4 linked regions of the Drosophila melanogaster genome follow. The protein of the gene in region 4 interacts with the protein of the main gene of each other region in a pairwise test. Each region holds a gene or a part of one and is shown on either strand. Other genes may lie near its edges. The genes, in order: amos, sofe, B-H2 and ATbp.

The links.
Region 1: the proteins of ATbp (region 4) and amos interact in a two-hybrid assay, tested with the Drosophila melanogaster proteins (one large-scale study listed by BioGRID).
Region 2: the proteins of ATbp (region 4) and sofe interact in a two-hybrid assay, tested with the Drosophila melanogaster proteins (one large-scale study listed by BioGRID).
Region 3: the proteins of ATbp (region 4) and B-H2 interact in a two-hybrid assay, tested with the Drosophila melanogaster proteins (one large-scale study listed by BioGRID).

Annotation. Positions count from the first base shown.
Region 1 is NT_033779.5:18,595,425-18,598,686, forward strand, and holds amos (absent MD neurons and olfactory sensilla), read right to left. Parts: upstream 1,498-3,262; 5' UTR 1,483-1,497; coding exon 886-1,482; 3' UTR 712-885; downstream 1-711. UniProt on the Drosophila melanogaster protein: Transcription factor involved in early neurogenesis; sensillum basiconica formation and maybe sensillum trichodea development. Promotes multiple dendritic (MD) neuron formation. Required for olfactory sensilla; regulated by lozenge (lz).
Region 2 is NC_004354.4:10,854,310-10,859,167, forward strand, and holds sofe (sister of feo), read right to left. Parts: upstream 3,105-4,858; 5' UTR 2,963-3,104; coding exon 1,139-2,962; 3' UTR 691-1,138; downstream 1-690. Other genes in the region: feo (fascetto), read right to left, coding at 1-295; CG2186 (uncharacterized protein), read left to right, coding at 3,613-3,626, 3,979-4,070, 4,136-4,816.
Region 3 is NC_004354.4:17,312,799-17,317,727, reverse strand, and holds the start of B-H2 (BarH2), read right to left. Parts: upstream 3,148-4,929; 5' UTR 2,859-3,147; coding exon 1,817-2,858; intron 1-1,816. UniProt on the Drosophila melanogaster protein: B-H1 and B-H2 are regulated by members of the wg signaling pathway; wg and dpp. B-H1 and B-H2 are coexpressed and functionally required in R1 and R6 receptor cells and primary pigment cells for normal eye development.
Region 4 is NC_004354.4:23,104,219-23,108,936, forward strand, and holds ATbp ((A+T)-stretch binding protein), read left to right. Parts: upstream 1-1,784; 5' UTR 1,785-1,885; coding exon 1,886-2,065; intron 2,066-2,125; coding exon 2,126-3,112; 3' UTR 3,113-4,113; downstream 4,114-4,718. UniProt on the Drosophila melanogaster protein: May be a transcription factor for genes having (A+T) stretches in their promoter and/or enhancer regions. Binds to AT rich DNA.

The sequences.
Region 1 (3,262 bases), on a different chromosome or scaffold from region 4:
GCAATTGAAAACTGTTGTGTACGATACGTCTTTTGTCTTTCTGGATCCTCGACTTCATCCGTTTCAGATAGATACTCGCTCGGTCCACCCACAGTTCCCATAGCACTTACAAATGACTATGTTTAAATCAATTTTCGTCTAATCTTCGAAGGATCTAAGGTAGCGACTGTGTTTATCCTCAGTGTGTTTACCTGTTGACGTTTGCGGCATTTAATCACTTCTGTTTTGGAGTTCCATCACTTTGAGTCGGAAGCGGAACTCATTAATTCTCGGTTTGTTACTGATGTTATGACCTTTCGTTTTGGTTCGTGGGCGTGGCGCACTGCCTAGCTTGCCATGCCGCTCTCATCTTTCAAGGATAACAAGGATACCCTTTTTCGGGCTGAGATGAAAGCGTGGCGAATAAAAACAAATGTGGAGGCATCAGTTGGATTGATAAATGGAGTTTTTACATATATTTATGTAAATTAATAAGTCTGATAAGTTATTTACATTTCAGTACCTATAAACTTCCTATCTTTTTTTTAAATATTTATTGGATTTTTCCCTTTTTCTCTCTAAAAATATCTGCTCTAAATTCTGTATATGTACCAGCAAAAAATGCAAAGATACAATTCAAACAAAATATAAATTTCCAAGTTCGCACAACATTATTTTCATTCCAACTCCACCATTTCATACGATATGAATTTAAAACAATATAATTGATTTGTATTTTCATTTTTATTATAAAACTATTGCTTGAATTGTGTACAACTATGATAATAAACGTAAAACTAACAGCCTTTATAAGATTTCCACTAGGATATGAAGGTGTTGCTGCAACACAGCCCGCAAAAGGAACTTCCATTTGAGGAAGAAAGGATAAAGGATCGCCCACACTGGCTAGTAGTCTCTGGACAGCAACGTGACCAGATCCCCGATGTATGCTTGCGCCATTTGCAGAGTTTCGTATTTGGAGAGTCGCCGATCGTGGCCGAGTGATGGAACCACATCTCTCAACTTGTCGAAGGCATCGTTCAGGCTGTTCATCCGCCTCCGTTCCCGAGCATTGGCGGCCAGTCGCCGTTTTTTGAGGACTTCGCCACCGAATCCCGCGGACGATGAACTGCTCGAAGAGGCGGAGGATGTAGATGATGACATGGAAGTGGACAGCTTGTCGTATGGCTTGCTCCTCTGCTGCTTGTTCCAGTACCTTGGACTTCTGCCCTGATTCTTGCCCAAGGGATTCGCTTGAAGGTGGTGCTGCTGCTGCTCCTGGGCATTCAGCATGTGCTCCAATTCCAGGACAGACGGCGTATCGTAATACATCTCCAAGGAGCAACTGTTGGCGCCATCCGACTGGCTGTCGCTGGTGCTGAACTCCTGCTGGTACATGAGCTGCTCCAACTGCTGGAAGGTGTCGTTGCTCAGGAACTCGGGAATCGCTGGGGCTTCGTCGGGGAAGTAGAACTGCTCCATTAGCTCGTTGTTGGTCAACATGTTTACGTTTGCAGGCTCAAGGGACAACTGAAGTGGCTGCTTGAGGATGGGTCTTTATATAGCTGCCTGCCGAGGATTCAGCTCTCACGTGATTGGTTCACTACATATGTCCTGTTACCTGATTCGCTGCCTCAAGCTGATCCGATCCGCTCAGGTACCCGATTGCCAACCTCTTGAGGATCAGCAGCACAGCCCGTGCCCTAAATTGGCTTGCGGTCAAGACGTTTAATTGTCTCTGGCTGCAACTCTCTCCCTCTTTCTCCCAGGTATTTACTGTATCAGCTACAGGTCGACTCCTTTTGTTTGACCTGTCATTTGGCTACCGTCTGTAATCATACCTCTTTTGTTACTTGCCCTGGAATTGACTTTTTATATTCAAACAAAATTTAGCCAAGGTCAAAATGCGAACGCACAAAAGACTCTTGTCATATGGGAATATTTTCCACAATGTGTGCCTCCATCGAAGATCGCCATGGATCATCTTGGTTGCATGTCTGTGGTCTAGTGAGTGGAGTGCTCGACTGGTTGGATGCAAACCCCATTTTTCGGACAGAACAAAGAGCAACAATTGTGCTTGTGCGGTTTGTGACTTTCGATTTTAGGCGGTTGTACTTACTTTATTGGGTCAAATTTAAGTGGGTGTATTAATAGTGGCTTTCTCCTGCTTTCAATGGCCAAATTACAGGACGTCGAGAAGTTCGAAATTCAAAAAAGCATGAAGAAATCAAAGCAAGTATCACATTATTATTATTTATTATTATTTTCATATTAAGGGATTTGAAATGTGCTATATTAACGCCTTTACTGAAGAGTTACTTTTCCGATAATAAAACTACACTACTTTAACATGCTGAAACCATTCGATGGGTCCTTCGAAACTCTGGTGCAATATGTTGCACCCTCACATTATATACTTTCATTCGTATGCTCTGGTTTCCACAGTCATCTTGGGATCAAGCCCACTTTCAAGTGACCGCATCGAAAGGCTAATTAACTCCACAGACTCGCAGCATTAGAGGGAAAATCAATTCGAGGAGTTCGCTGAATTTCTAAGGAAACTGGGCAAAACAATTGGAAAACACTGGCCGAGAAGCGCCGAGCATGGCTAAAGAGTACAAATGATGCCACTGCAAGATGGCCCAGTTACTTCGCCCAAATTGTCAAGGAACAAAGTCCCGAGCCGACAAAGGATCCTGACGTTTGATCTTGACGATGATGATGATAGCTGATGGATCGATCGATCGCTCGATCGGTTCACTTTGTTAAGAGTGCCACGCGACCGCAGCTTAGTCGAAATCCTGGCCCAGATTAGGCATTATGCTGCAATATTTTCGGGAGAAAGGTTCGCGGATAACCTAAAGATCTGCAACGCCTTCGAAAAGAGGTTCTGGAATTTCCAATTAGCATTTTTCTGCGCTACCTGGGACCTCGATCCTGTCAAAATAGCAACAATAGGTAGTCGGTTGGTGGGCGGTTCTGGTTGAAAGTGGGAACCTCTCTCCGCACTCCATCCATATCCATGCCCGTTTGTTTCTTTTCTTCTGACCAACAATAGGTCACCTGATGATAATCTCGGATACGTCTGGCAGTTGCGTGTTTTTGGGTTTTCCCTGCCAGATTAATCGTTTTCGCTTTGCGGATTAGTTGTTGGCGCTAAATTGCGAAAATGAGATTAGAAGTCAGAGTCCCGGAGTCACCAGGAATTCCATGGGAATCTCTTCTCGCCCGACACTTGTTGATTCCACTCTTTGTATTGCAATGCCTGACAATGGATCTTTGT
Region 2 (4,858 bases), about 12 Mb from region 4:
GCGGCATGGACTCCGGCCGCTCGCCAATGTCCAGCGGCTCGTGGAGTAGGCGCGTCAAGTCGGTGGCCTCTGCCCGCAAGGCGGCTATATCGTTGAGGATCGCCTGCTGCTTTTCGCGCGACTCATTGAGCAAATCCGTGAAGAAGCTGTTCGCATGGTCCTTCAACCGGAGGAGGAACTCACCGCAGGTCTTGACCTCGAACAACTGCGACCACATCGCGTGCAACTGATCCACGTGCTCGCCCGTCATCTCCAGGATCTGGGCCTTCACCGCAATGGCGCTCGGCGAGTTCATTTTCTCCGTTTTCGTTGTGAAATTTGTGTTTTTTTTTTTTTGTTCAAAATTTCTTTTCTTGCGTAAATGCTCACTGGCTTTGTTTTTTCGTTGTGTTCACTTGGGGACTATTTAACCAGCATATCTGAGTTAACTTGACAGTTGTGTCGCAGACCCACAACGCTGGGCAGGATTGCTCGGGAATGTGCGGATTTATTTAGTGGTTTATTTAGAGTGCATCACTGCACGAAATTTCGAACTGAATGAATCGATGACGCTAGACAGAAATTTCGGTAAATTCAAATTGAAATGGCGGCCAAGAGTGTTGCCACCGCGTTGTGGGACAGCATTGCCACGCGGCGGTAACTTCTGGTAAAACCAGGGCTGGAGCATACGCCACTTTTTTGAATATTTAAAATTCGTTATTTGGTTTATTAGCAAATTAAAATATCTATTTTAATTATTTTGCTCCTTAAAAACGTATTATATTCTCTTATATGCGCTTAGTAAACATCCCACAGACTTTAGAAAACCCTTCCCACACATGTATATTTTGGTAAAATTGAAATCAAGTAATTTATAATGTAAACAAGCGTTTTTATCTGACTAAAAATTTAAAATGTGGACAATTGTTCATTTACTTCTTGCCGTCACAGGTAGTGCAAAATAGTTAAAAGAATTTTAAAGTTGTAAATTTAGATAGTCTTTGCGCTAGGAAAAGCCCTAACACTATACATATGTGTATACATATAAATACGATGAGTCTGCAATTGCGAGCCAAATACTTCAGTACAGGTAATAGATATAGAACACAGATCAGTTGCCGAAATGATTGCCATTGGATGTGATTAGAGTCTAGCTCCATTATATGGCCACGACCGCCTCCTCGTCGGGACTCTCGTTCTCCTCGCCGGACGGCGGACGCACATGGATTTTTGGTATGGGACGAATTTTCTGGGGATTCCTGCTCCCTGTGCTCGGCCTGCCGGATCCCTTGCCCCGACGCACCGAGTATTCCAGCACGCGCACCTTCCTCTGCGGCGACTTGAGCAGCTTCTGCCCATTCACACAGACCTTGCGACTTGCATTGTTGCACTCCAGCGATGCGATTAGATTTCGCTTGGCCGCTGCTGCCGGCTGTGGACTATTGGTGTTGTGATGCTGTGGATGCCGTCTCTTGTGCAGATTCCCTGTGCTCATTGCCGTGGTGCTGGCATTTGCCTTGGTCGGCGTCTTCTTCAACGAGGATGTGGATCCATGGATGCCCCGGTTGCTCTTCTGCGTATTGGGCGTAAGAGGCACCATTGGCGGCTTCATTTGGCCGCTCGTATTGCTGCCATCCTTCTTCTGGGCGGAGGGCTGCTTTTTGGACTGTCGATGCCGCTCCCAGTCCGCCGACATGCGCTCCAGTATATCCACGCCGTGCACCAGGAACGGCGTGTGCGTTTCACTCATGTAGACCTGCACCAGTTCGGTGATTTGTTGATCGATCTTGGGCAGACGGGACATGATAGTCTTGCGCTCCTTCTCCTCCTTGAGCAGCTGTCCACCGCGATTGTTGAACCGATTTGGATCGTTGGCCTTGGCCTCCAGGGCCTCCATGCGCGTCCATAGCTCGCCTCGATTCGCGTATAGCTCAAATATCTTCCTGTTGCTGTTGTAGAACTCCTTAAGGTTGTCCAGCTCCTTCTCGAACTGCTCGAGAACATCTTCGGTCTGCGTATCACAGTAGTAGGTGGTGAAGCGCCTGCGCTCCTCGGTGCTTTTCAGTGAAAGATCCCACCACTCGTTGATCTCAATGCGCAGCTGCTCGATGAAGGCAATCAGATTCTGCTGCCGCATCGCCTGGCAGCGCTCCAGCTCCTCGCGCAATATGTCGTAGGTGCACTGGTTATAGGACGTGGCTTCGCGCACACGACGCATGGCGTATTCGTCGGTCATCCTGAGCCGCTGCCAGAGGCATTCAATCTTGCCGCGCATCTCGTCGATGCGGTCGATTAGATCCTGCACCTGGTCGGCGAACTCTTTGTCCATTTCTTGCAGGCGCACGTAGGCGTAGGGAGTAAGCTTATGGTTATCCGCATTGAGTAACCGCTTTTCCGAGTCCGTTCGCAATTGAAGTTCGAGTAGTTTTATGTTTCGTTTGATGTTCTGGCGCAGCTCGTCCATATCCCTGAGGCGCTGCACTCGCTGATCGCGCAGCTGGGCTAGGTGCTCCCGAAAGGGGTCCATCTCCTCGGGCAGCGGCAGGGGATCAGCTAGAAGTGAAAGCGGCTGTTCGCCCAGCTCATCGCAGAGCTGCTGCTGTTGATGGAGTAGCTCCCTGATCTCTGCCCGTCGGCTGACCAGCTCTTTGCGCAGTTGTTCGATGTATTTCTCCAGCTTAATGTACCAGATCTCCATCGGCACATCGTCCGGCCGCTCGCCAATGTCCACCGCTTTGTGAAGCAGCCGCCTTAGCCCGCTGGCCTCGTTGCGCAAAACGGCTATGTCGTTGAGTATACCCTGCTCCTTGTCGCTCGTCTCCTTGCGGAGATCCGTGTAGAATGTGTGTACGTGATCCTTAAGACGGGCGAGACAATCCTCGCAGGCTTGCGGCTCAAACATTCGCGACCACATTGCGTGCAGCTCGTCGAAGTGCTCGGCCGTCAGCGCTAGTATCCTTGCTTTGTGTTCGCTAGATAGCATTGTGTTTATTTTGTTTGTTTCTGTGTCGTGTTCTCGTGTGTGGTTGGATGTAAGTAAACATGAAATTCAATTCGAATCAGAACGTATGGACGCAATGTTGCTATGTTTAAATCGGTAAATTTCAAACTGTACATCAAACTCGTGCGCTCTGCAACACTGGCCAATTGGTGCTGTTAGGCGACAGCATTGCCACATCGGTAAGCATTGGAGATCAAATATATATATAGTGAGTGAGTATATTTCTGCTACTCACTTTCTATTGCGTATAATGCGTTATAAGAAAATAATTGTTTTACCGTGTCTAATATGGTAAATGTTAGTACCAATGGTATGGTAAGTAGTATAAATTGATATCGATATATACCGATAGCAACGCATACCTATCGCTGTACTTGCCACCACTAATACCAATTGCATCCCTCAAAAAAAATACTGCGTGTGAAAAAGACCCGAACTTTTCGCATACCTTTCGGGTGCCTACTTATTCAGTGGAAAAGCGCGCGTTACTGCTCAGATCGATTCGATCGCAAAACGGCTGTTCAAAATGTTATAAAACACCGCGCCGCGTCCGTAGACAGTCCCTGTTCTACTTTAAAACACACACCCACACACGCGCGCCGCCGAGTGTCAACAGCTGCCCTGGCGAAAAAATGTCGGACATTAAGTAAGTGGTGGGTGCGAAAAAGTGGGTGACCCTGTGATGAATGGTGGCCACCTAAGATTGGGCAACAATCCTGGCCAGCGTTCGATTGGTGGCACTGAGAAAATCGCATGCAAAAAGCATTGTCGGGGCGGGGGGGTTGGCGATGCATGTGTATAACATTTTCAAGCTGCGTAGGTGTGTACGTATGTGTGCGAATGTGTGTGAATGCCCCCCCGGCTGTGCTTGTGTATGTGTTTGAGTGCGTGTGGTTATTATATTTTTTTTTTTCAATGGAACCTCGAAGGATAGAAAAGTCTCACCTTGGTTTTCTCCTTAACCCATTAATGATTTCTTAACTGCATCTCATCCGCAGCGATGACCTGCTCAACTACGAGCTGGGCGATGACATCGATGACCAAGCTCTGCTCGGCGCCGATGAGGATGAGTTGCTACTCTCGGACGAAGGTGAGTTCTATATGCACTGCAATAGTTGAATCGTTTTCTGATGGATATCCTTCTTCCATGCACAGAGCTCGAAAAGGATGTCACCAGCGAGGTGAAGCAGCAGATGCGCGCCGAGGCCGAGGAGTGGGCCCAGGAGCAGATTAGACAGCACGAGCGCAAGCACAAGGAGCAATTGCAGGCAGATGCGACTGCAGCGACTGAAGTCACTGTTGCAGCCACGGCCACCGCAGAGGTAGCACCAACTTTAAGGGCGCAACCAGAGCTAGCTTCATCTCCTGCTCCGGATCCTGTTCCTGCGAAACCTCTAGTCGCTCAGGTGGAGAAACATGTTGACACAGCCCACGCGGCTGTGGCAGCTGAGCCAGCGAAGGAACTGGTGTCAGCCAGTCGCTCGGAATCCCCACAACAGCAAGCTAAGGAGGAGGCGCCTCCAGCTGATTGCGCCGAAAAGGAGGCGACTCAGAATAATGGCAACAGCGAGGAACAAGCTGAGAACGCTGGCAGTCAGAGTGAGGCTGAACGAGGACTGGGCTTGTGCTCGCTACTGGCCTCATCCCAAGAGAGCCTGCCCAGCGCCAGCTCAGCCTCTGTGATTTCAGATCCGCGAGAGGACGACGAAGAGCGCGAGGAGCGCACCAACTACAAGACGGCCAGCGAGCGATCTGACAACAATCTGAGGCAGCAGCAAGAGCACGCACACATGTCGCCCTACCAGCACCAGCAGCGGCGACTCCACGGCCATGGAGGTGGGTGCAACGGGAGGGGTAGTCTTCCTTGTCAAATCCTTA
Region 3 (4,929 bases), 5.8 Mb from region 4:
GGAGAAATCTCCGCTTTTGGTTATAGTTTAATTTGGTAATTGATTTTGGCACAAGTCAAAAAACACATATAAATGTGAAAATTGTCCATGAAATTGGGGAAGCTTTGATTGAAACAAAATTGCTTAGGGGCTTATAATTTCTCGTTAACAAAAAAAAAACTGAATTGAGACCGGGCAATTATTAAAATAACTAAAATTACTCGGCATTTTAGTTATCCAAAAATAGTGGAAACTCATTTTTATCATCCTTTGGGATTTCGTAAAAAATCTATAATAAAAACACACACACATCTTTTGTAGCAAACTCAACATTCTGACCTTTTGTTCTGATTTCCATGCTCTTTCAAATACATACATATATATTTGTGCACGTTCTCGGCCTTTCTAAATTATATTACTGCAAATCAATTGCAAACGCACGATTACGGCTATTTAATAGTAATTTGTTATAATTTGCATATCGTTTAAAAGCACTTAACGAGAGGAAAAAAGCAAAACTAAAGCTAGGCAACAAAATCAATTAGATTGTTGCATGCAAAACAAGGTTGACGGCACGCGGGGGGCGTGGCAGTCAAGGGTATTCTGTTGACAGTTTTGACTGGGAAATATGTTGAAAATAAGCGAACACTTGGCTAATCTGGCCAATAAGTTGAGGGGGGGGGGGGGGGATTGAAAAGGAAAAAACAGAAAGAGAGACATATACAGGTAGAGGAAGAAAGAGAGAGTGAGAGACAAAACCTAAGACACCTGCCTCAGACTCGAACTCACCTGTATTTTTCGAGTCTTCGCCTATCAAGCCAGCATTTTCCCCGTTCGAGCCGCACAATTTACGGTGGTTGTTGGTGCGGTTGTTGTTGGCCGTTATCTATTAGCCAACAGCCACAACAAAAACGACAAAGACAACAGGAAAAACAACCACGCTTAGCACTCAATATATGATATATCCCGGTCGCGGGGAAAATCGTAAATTTAAAGTGGTGCGAACTCAGGGGTCAGATGGATAGGTGTAAATTGGTTTCGAGATCCCCTTCAGTGTATAAACAAAAGTCCACCGTTTGGGTTTCAAATTAATACCAACCGAATCAAATTTATCAGCTAACATTTATTGGTGTGCATACTATGAAATAATTTCTATTCTCTATAGCCATAAAAGCCCTTTTCGTTTAATAAAATAGCTAATACAGCTGAACTTTGGTAAAGTTTATAAATAGAACTGGTTTTAATGGCAATTTGTATACTATAATTACTAGCTTCCTTTATTTCCTTTAATATTCTATGCAAATTTACTAGAGCTTAAATACATATATATTAGCTAGATTTTGATTGCTTTTAATTTGTACGTCAGGAACACGTATAAAAAAGCCTTGATTGGTATTTTGAAACATTTATATCTCGCATTATATCTTGTCTTTCTTTTTTCTTGCTATTTTGAATATCAGTTGTTCATTAGATTTCACTTTCCCATCCAGTCCAGTCCCTGAAATATCACAAATATCATATTGCTATATATATATATATATATATTCTCTATATGTATCCCCGCTTTGCTCTTCTCATATTACTTGATATTGCAATAAAGTGTCTATATACATATACATATATTCCGCACTTGGTGCTATTCTTCAAGATCCATCTGAATCTGTATGTCTGTCTCATGAACTAGTCTCTTCCTTTAGTTAGCAACTTAATTATTTCTGCTATATATATATATATATACTTTATATATTCCCGATGTAGCCTTATCCTTGAAATACAGCTTAAACCATATTGCTATACAGATTCATTGTATGTTTATGATATATGATCAGCGACTTACCGCAATCATCGCTGTCGCTGTCGTCGATTGTGCTGGCTTGATCGCCGCTAATGCTGCTGCCGGGTCCTCCGAGCAACATGTTGCCGTTGCCACTGCCATTGTTGTTGTTGCTGCTGCTGCTGTTGCCGCTGATGATGTTGCTGTTGGCACTAGCACTGTTGTTGTTGTTGTTGTTGTTGTTACTGGCACTGCTGCTGTTGTTGTTATTGTTGTTGTTATTGCCACCGTTACCGCCCAATTGTTGCAGCATCAGCGGTGACCGGGATCGCTCATCGTGCATGGGATGATGCAGATGCGGATGGTGCTGCTGGTGGCTCAGGTGGCTTAAGTGGCTCAAGTGCTGGGCAGGATCACCGGTCAGCCCGTGGCCATGCCGATGCAGTGCCTCCAATCGTTCCCTCTCAAGCTGCAGATGATGCGGGTGGGGATGTTGCTGTTGCTGCTGTTGCTGTTGCTGCTGCTGCAGCACGGCGTAGTGGGCGGGCGGAAAGTGGGCGAGCAGATGGGGCGGCATGGGGTGGTGGGCATAGGGATTGTTGCCAGGCGGCGAATGTCTCTCCCTATAGTGTTCCCGCTCCCGCTCCCTCTCCCTTTCCCGTTCAAAGCGCAGCAACTGCTGCTGTTGCACGATGTACTGTTGCAGGGCAGCCTGCTGATGTTGCTGCTGCTGCTGCTGCTGCTGGTGATGATGGTGTTGTTGCTGCTGCTGGTGATGGTGGTGATGCTGGGCGACCAGCGATTGCTCCCGCTCCGAGTCCGTCGGACTGCCACGCCCACCGCCGGAAGAGGCGGCTGCCAAGGCGGCCGCCGCTGCTGCTGCCGCCGCCGATGCGGCCGCGGCTCCTGCCAAAATATCGGTGATCATAAAGCGGGATCGCGTCGCCGTTGTGGCCGTGGCTGTCGTCGTGTTGCTGCCGACGGCCGGGGAAGCTGGACGCGGCATACCGCCGCCGACGGCAGCGGGATGATGAGCGGTGGCACTCGGTGCACTGCCAACGGGAGCTGCCGTTGTTGCGGACATTTCCGGTGGCATTGTGGTCATGTGTGGTTAGCCGACGACTCCGCTGCTGCACCTGCACTTTGCACCGAAAAAAAACAAACAGCTATGTATGTATGTATGGGTGACGCGAGTTTTTAGCACTTCTTCAGTTAATTGTTGGTAGCTGCTCGCACTTATTTCTTAAACTTGACAAGTTCTTGAACTCCGCTTTCGATTGCTCTTGCGTTGGTTAATGTTTTCTTGGCCCAACTGGGTTTTTAACGCAAATGTCGCTGAGGTGCGCACACTTTGTGATGTTCAATAGCGGAGCAACAACCGCTCGCCTTTGGCTTTCGACCGAAACTGAAACTTGCTGCCAGCAACAGCAACTGGCAGCAGCAGCAGCAACAACAGCAGCAGCGGCAACAGCAGCAACAACAAGAAGGCAGCAAAAACCAGTTGAGCCACCGCTTCCCATCAGCTGCCACCTGTCGTCGTCTCTTTTTCGCTCATTGACCTGGCCAAGTGGCGGTGTGGTGAGTTTCCCTCTCTGTCGCCCCGCGACTGCCTCTCGCTCGCACCCACGGCTGCCCACATTTATTGCCCGCACTTATTGGTCGTAATTGGCAGCAATTGACATTCATTAGGCTTCAATCAGCGGGACTCAAGTTGGCGGGTGTGGTGACTTTCCGCCGGCAATGGCCGCACGTCTAACGGTTATTTTTATGGCACGTGGTGGAGTTGGCTGTTTCGAACTACAACCGCACAAAAAGTATTGCAATTAACTTCATATCCTTAAATAAATAGGGTTTATTAAGTCTTGTCAATTTATATAAAAAGTTATTTGTACTTATTTGATTTCTATAAATCTGAACAAAAACGTGTTCGTTATCTTTGAGGGTTAAATATAGTCTTAGGGGTCAGTTGGTTATTTCATATTATTTTAGCTGCTTTCAAACAAAATTTGAACAGTGTTAATGGTAAACTTTTATTATAATAGCGAGTATTATTAAAAAATATGTAGCCATGCATCTTTAATATACTAATAACTTGTTATCTAACTTTCCAACTAAATATAGTTTGTACAGGAATGACAGAACATTTATGCAATATGCCTCCAGCAGTAGCAAAATCATACTGTTTTAGAAGGTTTCCCTGTTCAATACGACTTCCCATAAACTTTTTATGGCAGCTTGAAACTCAACACGATTATGGCAGCAGGGCAGCTGCCGCCTTTGCTTTTGCTTCTAATGTTGCTTTTGCTGTTGTATCTGATGGACAGATATCCGGATGGCAAGATGGATGGATGGGATGCTGTCAACCCTGTTTTGTGGCCAGGCCACGCCCCCTTAAACTGGTTTGTGCGAGCGAGAGGCAGCCGGCACGACATCTGTCTGTCTCGCTTTGGCCCAAGGGCTGGCCGCCTGTGGCTCGCCTCGGGCCCTCTCGCTCTGCGTACTTTGTTGTTGGTGTCTTTTGTTATTTTTGCGCTTGTTAACACTTTTTGTTTGGCATTTAAACAGTAAATTGGCAGCAGTTAAATGCTGCACGCTTTCCTCTCTGTCGCACGCGATAGTGCCCTCTCTTTCCACTCACTTCTGGTTTACTTCTTGTATCGATGTCAATTTGCTGCCTAATGTGCAAGTGAATGGGTCTCAGGGGGGGGGTGGCTATCCAAGAGGGGGCTGTATACCACTGGGGGTTCCTACCACCTCATTCCTGTGGACTAACAAGCGTGCTCCGGTGGGCAGGAGCTACTCGAGGAGGCAGTCTTTGGCGCCTGGAGGCGGATGCTCCCGCTGCCACATGTTTATTGTATAGTTAGCTTTTCAAAATGGCCTCACGGCAGCAATTGTCGGGTATTACTGGCCATTGGTATGTATCCGAGTTCCTGTCGCCAAACGTTTCCAGGAATAGAGTATCGTAATCATAGATATATCCCAAGCATTTACGACCTGACAAACGATCGGGCTGGAGCAGGAAAACGAAGACGTGACCGGGATCATTGGGTACAGTTTGTATTGCCTCTGAATAAACCATGAGATTGATTTTCCTGTAATATAAATTATAGCATTAATAGATATGAACATAAACTTATCATTTTTTTTATGTAATTTACTTATTGATAATTGTT
Region 4 (4,718 bases):
GATGTTTGATGCCAATTTGATGTCCTCGAGATGTTGGTTATATACATTTATTTATATATTTAAGTATGTCCTGTGTGTTAAAGTTTTCAATAGTTGTAAGTGGATGGCTTGTTGCGGTTCTTGCTTGGCTGTCAGCGAGTTCATTTCCTGGTGTTCTTAATAATGCAGAATTTTGCTCTTTTATTTTTATGAGTTCTTAGGGCCTCAATAATGGCTAGTATGATGTGCCGTTTGATAAGTTAAATTTCGTAGTTAATAGCGAAGCTGGTAATTTTGTTTGTTTGAGATCCATCTGTGTAAATGTAGGTCTAGGAAAGATCGTTAGTTTGCTTATTATTTAATATTTTCCTTATCAATTTTGGGGTCGTGTTGTTTTTGTTGAACTTATTGTGTGTTGTGTCGATTTTAGAAAGATTGGTGTTTCAGGGAGGTGAGGTTTGGGGGCATATATTACCCGTTACTCGCAGAGTAAAAGGGTATACTAGATTCGTTGAGAAGTATGAACCGGCGGAAGGAAGCGTTTTCGACCATATAATATATATATATTCTTGATCAGGATCAATAGCCGAGTCGATCTATCCATGCCAGTCTATCGGTCTGTACGTAGGGAAATGCAAAGACAAAACAAAATGTGAAAATATATCGCACATACCTAAGTATGTAGTTATGTAAATACACATACATATATACATATATTTCACATTTTACATAGCCACATATGAATATACATATGTGTTTTCGGGTAGGGTATCATTTTAAAAGTGTCTGTCTTGCGTTACTTACATTTTTTCAATAACAAGTACTCAATACTTTTGCTTTTGGATTGTATTTTCTCCACTGTACATTTGTATAACAAAATCCATAATATTATCTTTTAAGCTACGCATTAAGGTAATTTCAGAAGGAAATGAACGATTCCTAGTGACTTCAATATTATTGAATAATAATTGATTTTTCCAAAAAAAAGATTGTATTCAAATATATTTCGGTATTGTTATATATTCATACATAAATTCATTTATACACATAACGGAAAATTAAAAAACATCGATTAGTTCGTAATCAAAGCACATTAAATCAATGCTTAACAATAATCAGGACACACTATGTAGTACGTTATTTAAAAAATTATTAACATAATGCTTGTGTTCTAACTAAATAACCGACTGACCCTTTCAGGAGTAAGGGAGAACTCTTCATTCTGATAATGAAAATGCGAGAAAGATGGAGCTATTCAAACAGCAAAACATTGATACGGACAAGTCCAGTTCGACTCTACTAGTTTTCCTGATCAAGAATATATGTATATACATTAAAGGGTCGGTAACGCTTCCTTTTACCTGTTAAATACTTTTCAAGGAATTTAATATACGCCTCCACCATACGAGGGCATGAAAATCATTTTTGGTACTTCACAACATTTTTAAAATTGTAAAAGGCTTAAAGATTCCATACAACAGTTATTTAATATCGATAGAAAATTCGCGATTCTGGACTTTTATTTAGAAGTTTTTACCTTATCGATATATCGATAGAAGATATTTAAAATGCTATAAAAGTATTTTGGTTCTTCCAATGTCTAACGCTTTTTTTGAGTGTCCTGTTGAGGAAACCAATGTTTTTTAAGATTTTTTCCCAAAGCTTCACATGCGTTTTATCGTTTGTAAATATAATTCCTAATTAAAGTTTTTTTTATGGACCACTGATATGTAGTTCTTTACCATCAATGCGATAGCTGCGTTCAAGTTCGACACTAAATAAGGCCGATGATTAATCGATACTATCGACAGTGCCCATTCGGCCGATAGCTAAACAAAAACAAAAAAAAAATAAACATAAACAAACAACAGCACAAGGACCGGACCTAGTCAAACAAAACAACGCCATGGGTTTTCCGCGCATCCTCAGCAAGAACAACAAGATCTACACCAAGCTGGGCGAGTTCTGTTTGTCGGGGGATAGCTTCTGGATTGTTTGTCACACGTGCCAAGAGGAGTTGCAGACACAGGATCAGTTCTGGAAGCACATACAGGATGAGCATAATTTCATGCACGGGGTGGCAAAGGTATGCTTTATGTGGTTTTTTTTTGGCGGAGGGTTTATAACCCTTGGTCTCTTTACACAGGAACACAGTCGTACATCCAGCTACTGCCTAACGGATGTGGAGGCTGCGGCGGCAGCAGCAACGCCAGGAAGCAGCTCCCAGCAAGGCGCCACAGCGATCAGTGTGCCTCTGGCACTTTACACCTGCTCAACCAAGTATTCTGAGGAGGAGCAGCGGGAGGTGGAAATGCACGAACAGCAGGTGCAACACCAAGTGCAACAGCAGCAAGCGCAGCAGCAGCAAGCGCAGCAGCAACAACACCAACAGTCTCAGCAGCAAGGGCACCAGCAACACCAGGTTCAACAACAGCAGACCCACCAGCAGCTCCAACAGCAGCGGGATGTTGCCAAGGAGCTGGCTGAACTCCATGCCAATGCGGTAGCTGCCGCTGCAGCCTCCGCAGCTGTGGTATCCACAGGCGAAGGAACTACCCAAAGTAACAGCGCCATCGACATTAAAATAGAGCCCAGCAGTCTGACACTTACACCCGAAATGCAGGCTGCTGCAGCAGCTGGGGGGACCATTTACCATCTGCCACAGCTAGTTCCACCACCTGTACCGCCTCCACCGCCAGGGTCCGGATTTGTAAGCGTCAGCGCCAGTACCAGCACCTCCAATACGGTCAGCACCACGCCACCCAATGTTCTACAGCAGCAACAGCAACTAAACATGTCTGTCGTTCCTTCGACGGCTATGGCCGCCGCTATGCTAGCCGCCAGTCAGGAACAGCTGCCCAAGGACTCTAACAGCACGACGGCCAGCGCCGGGAGTGCTGTCTCTTCAGATGACGGAGAACGCTGGTACGTCTGCGATTACGAGACTTGTGGTTTGAAGTTTAAGTATAAGTCGAGAATGGAGCTACATCGGGTAGTTCACAGCAAGGAGCGGCGGTTCAATTGCGAACTGTGCAGTGCCTCCTTCAAGCAGTCGTGCAACCTATCAACACACCGGAAGAAAAAGCACGCACTGAGAGGCATCAAAAGCGAGATATTGCCGCAGCGCTTTTAGGCTATACATTAAACAGAGACAGCTCAAAGATTCCCCAATTAACCACATTGCATCTCGAAAAACCCTGTTTGAAAATGTTGACTTAAGTTCAAGGAAATCGCTTGTTTGCCACAAAAAATGTTCATTGTGCTAGGAGCCACAGAAATCTGTTGAATTAGCAAGGTGTGTACAAAAGAGTTCTACATTTTGTCTCTTCCATGATTTCTCTGCCTTTTCTAAGACTCAATAAAGTTATAGACTTTATATTTATATTTATAAATTAAATAATTCTGGATAATTCCGACTGTAAATTAAAATTTAGCACTGCGTCAACATTGTGGCAGGCAAGTGACATATATATGTATATCACATATGTGTATATATATATGCTCTACAAATGAATATATATTGTATATAAATAAATATATAATATAAATATATATAACATGTATGCATATTTAGTATATAAAAATATACAAATATAAACTAATATCTAATGTAGGCTTAGGTTGTCATGTAAATGTAATGTAAATGTTTAGGCAGAGGTATGAAAACCCCCGTTATCTTTTACGCTCTAAGTGTACATGCAATGATGTGTGTAAAGGAGACCAAAATTTAGAAGACGGAATTAAGCCCAACCAAAAAATATGTTGGTGTCTAGACCGTTGTGAGTTTTGTTTTAGAGTAAATTGGTTCACAATGTGTTAAAACCGATTAGTCTCCTTTGAGTAAGTCTTTTACTTTAAGTTGAAATGGATTCTGAGGACAGCGAGATTTCTGGGACATATCTAGTGGTTGCTGAAATAGTGTCAGTTACAGTTTACAAGGTTAGAACAGTTATTTACCTAGATACACAATATTTATGTATATATGGCCATATATACAGCTGCGAAAAATTTAATATTACCACTTGCCCAATCAAGGTTTGAATAAGTCCCAATTTTAGGATTTAAAAAGAGCAAAAATACCTTTTTAGAAAAGTTAAATCATGCACTTATTAGAAAATAAAAAATAATTACATTGTTCTATGAGTTCTTAACTTAATTAGCCACGTCATGAAAAATGCTTAAATATTCAATTTTAAACAGCTGTTCAACGTGTTGGCATGGATTGATTCAGGTCCTGGCACTGTTTAAGGGATATTTAGGTCCAGGACTTCTTAATTACAGCCCAAAGTTTTCCATTGTTAGTTGCTCGAGAAGCTACAACTGCCTTTTTATTATCGTTGAAAGTATGTAACAGGCAGAAAGGAATCCGACCATATAAAGTATATAACTGCTACGCCCACATTTTTGAAAAATTGTTTGATATTTTTTCATAATTTTATTAGTTGTGTAAATTTCTATCGATTTGCCAAAAAACAGTTTTGAACAATTCTTAAATTTTTTCTCATTTTATTCCCCAATATCTATCGATATCATAATAAAATGATAAAATTTCGTGTTCGCATTCACACTAGCTGAGCAACGGGTATCTCTCTTGTTTTTCTTGTATTTTATCCATTGCCCACAAAGTTAACAACCTTGCTCACATCTGACCATAAAATGTTAATGCGCTTGGCTATGTGTCTCCCATTAAAAGGAGGGACTTTCCTTGGACTTCAGTATTTTAAACCATGTTCCCTGAG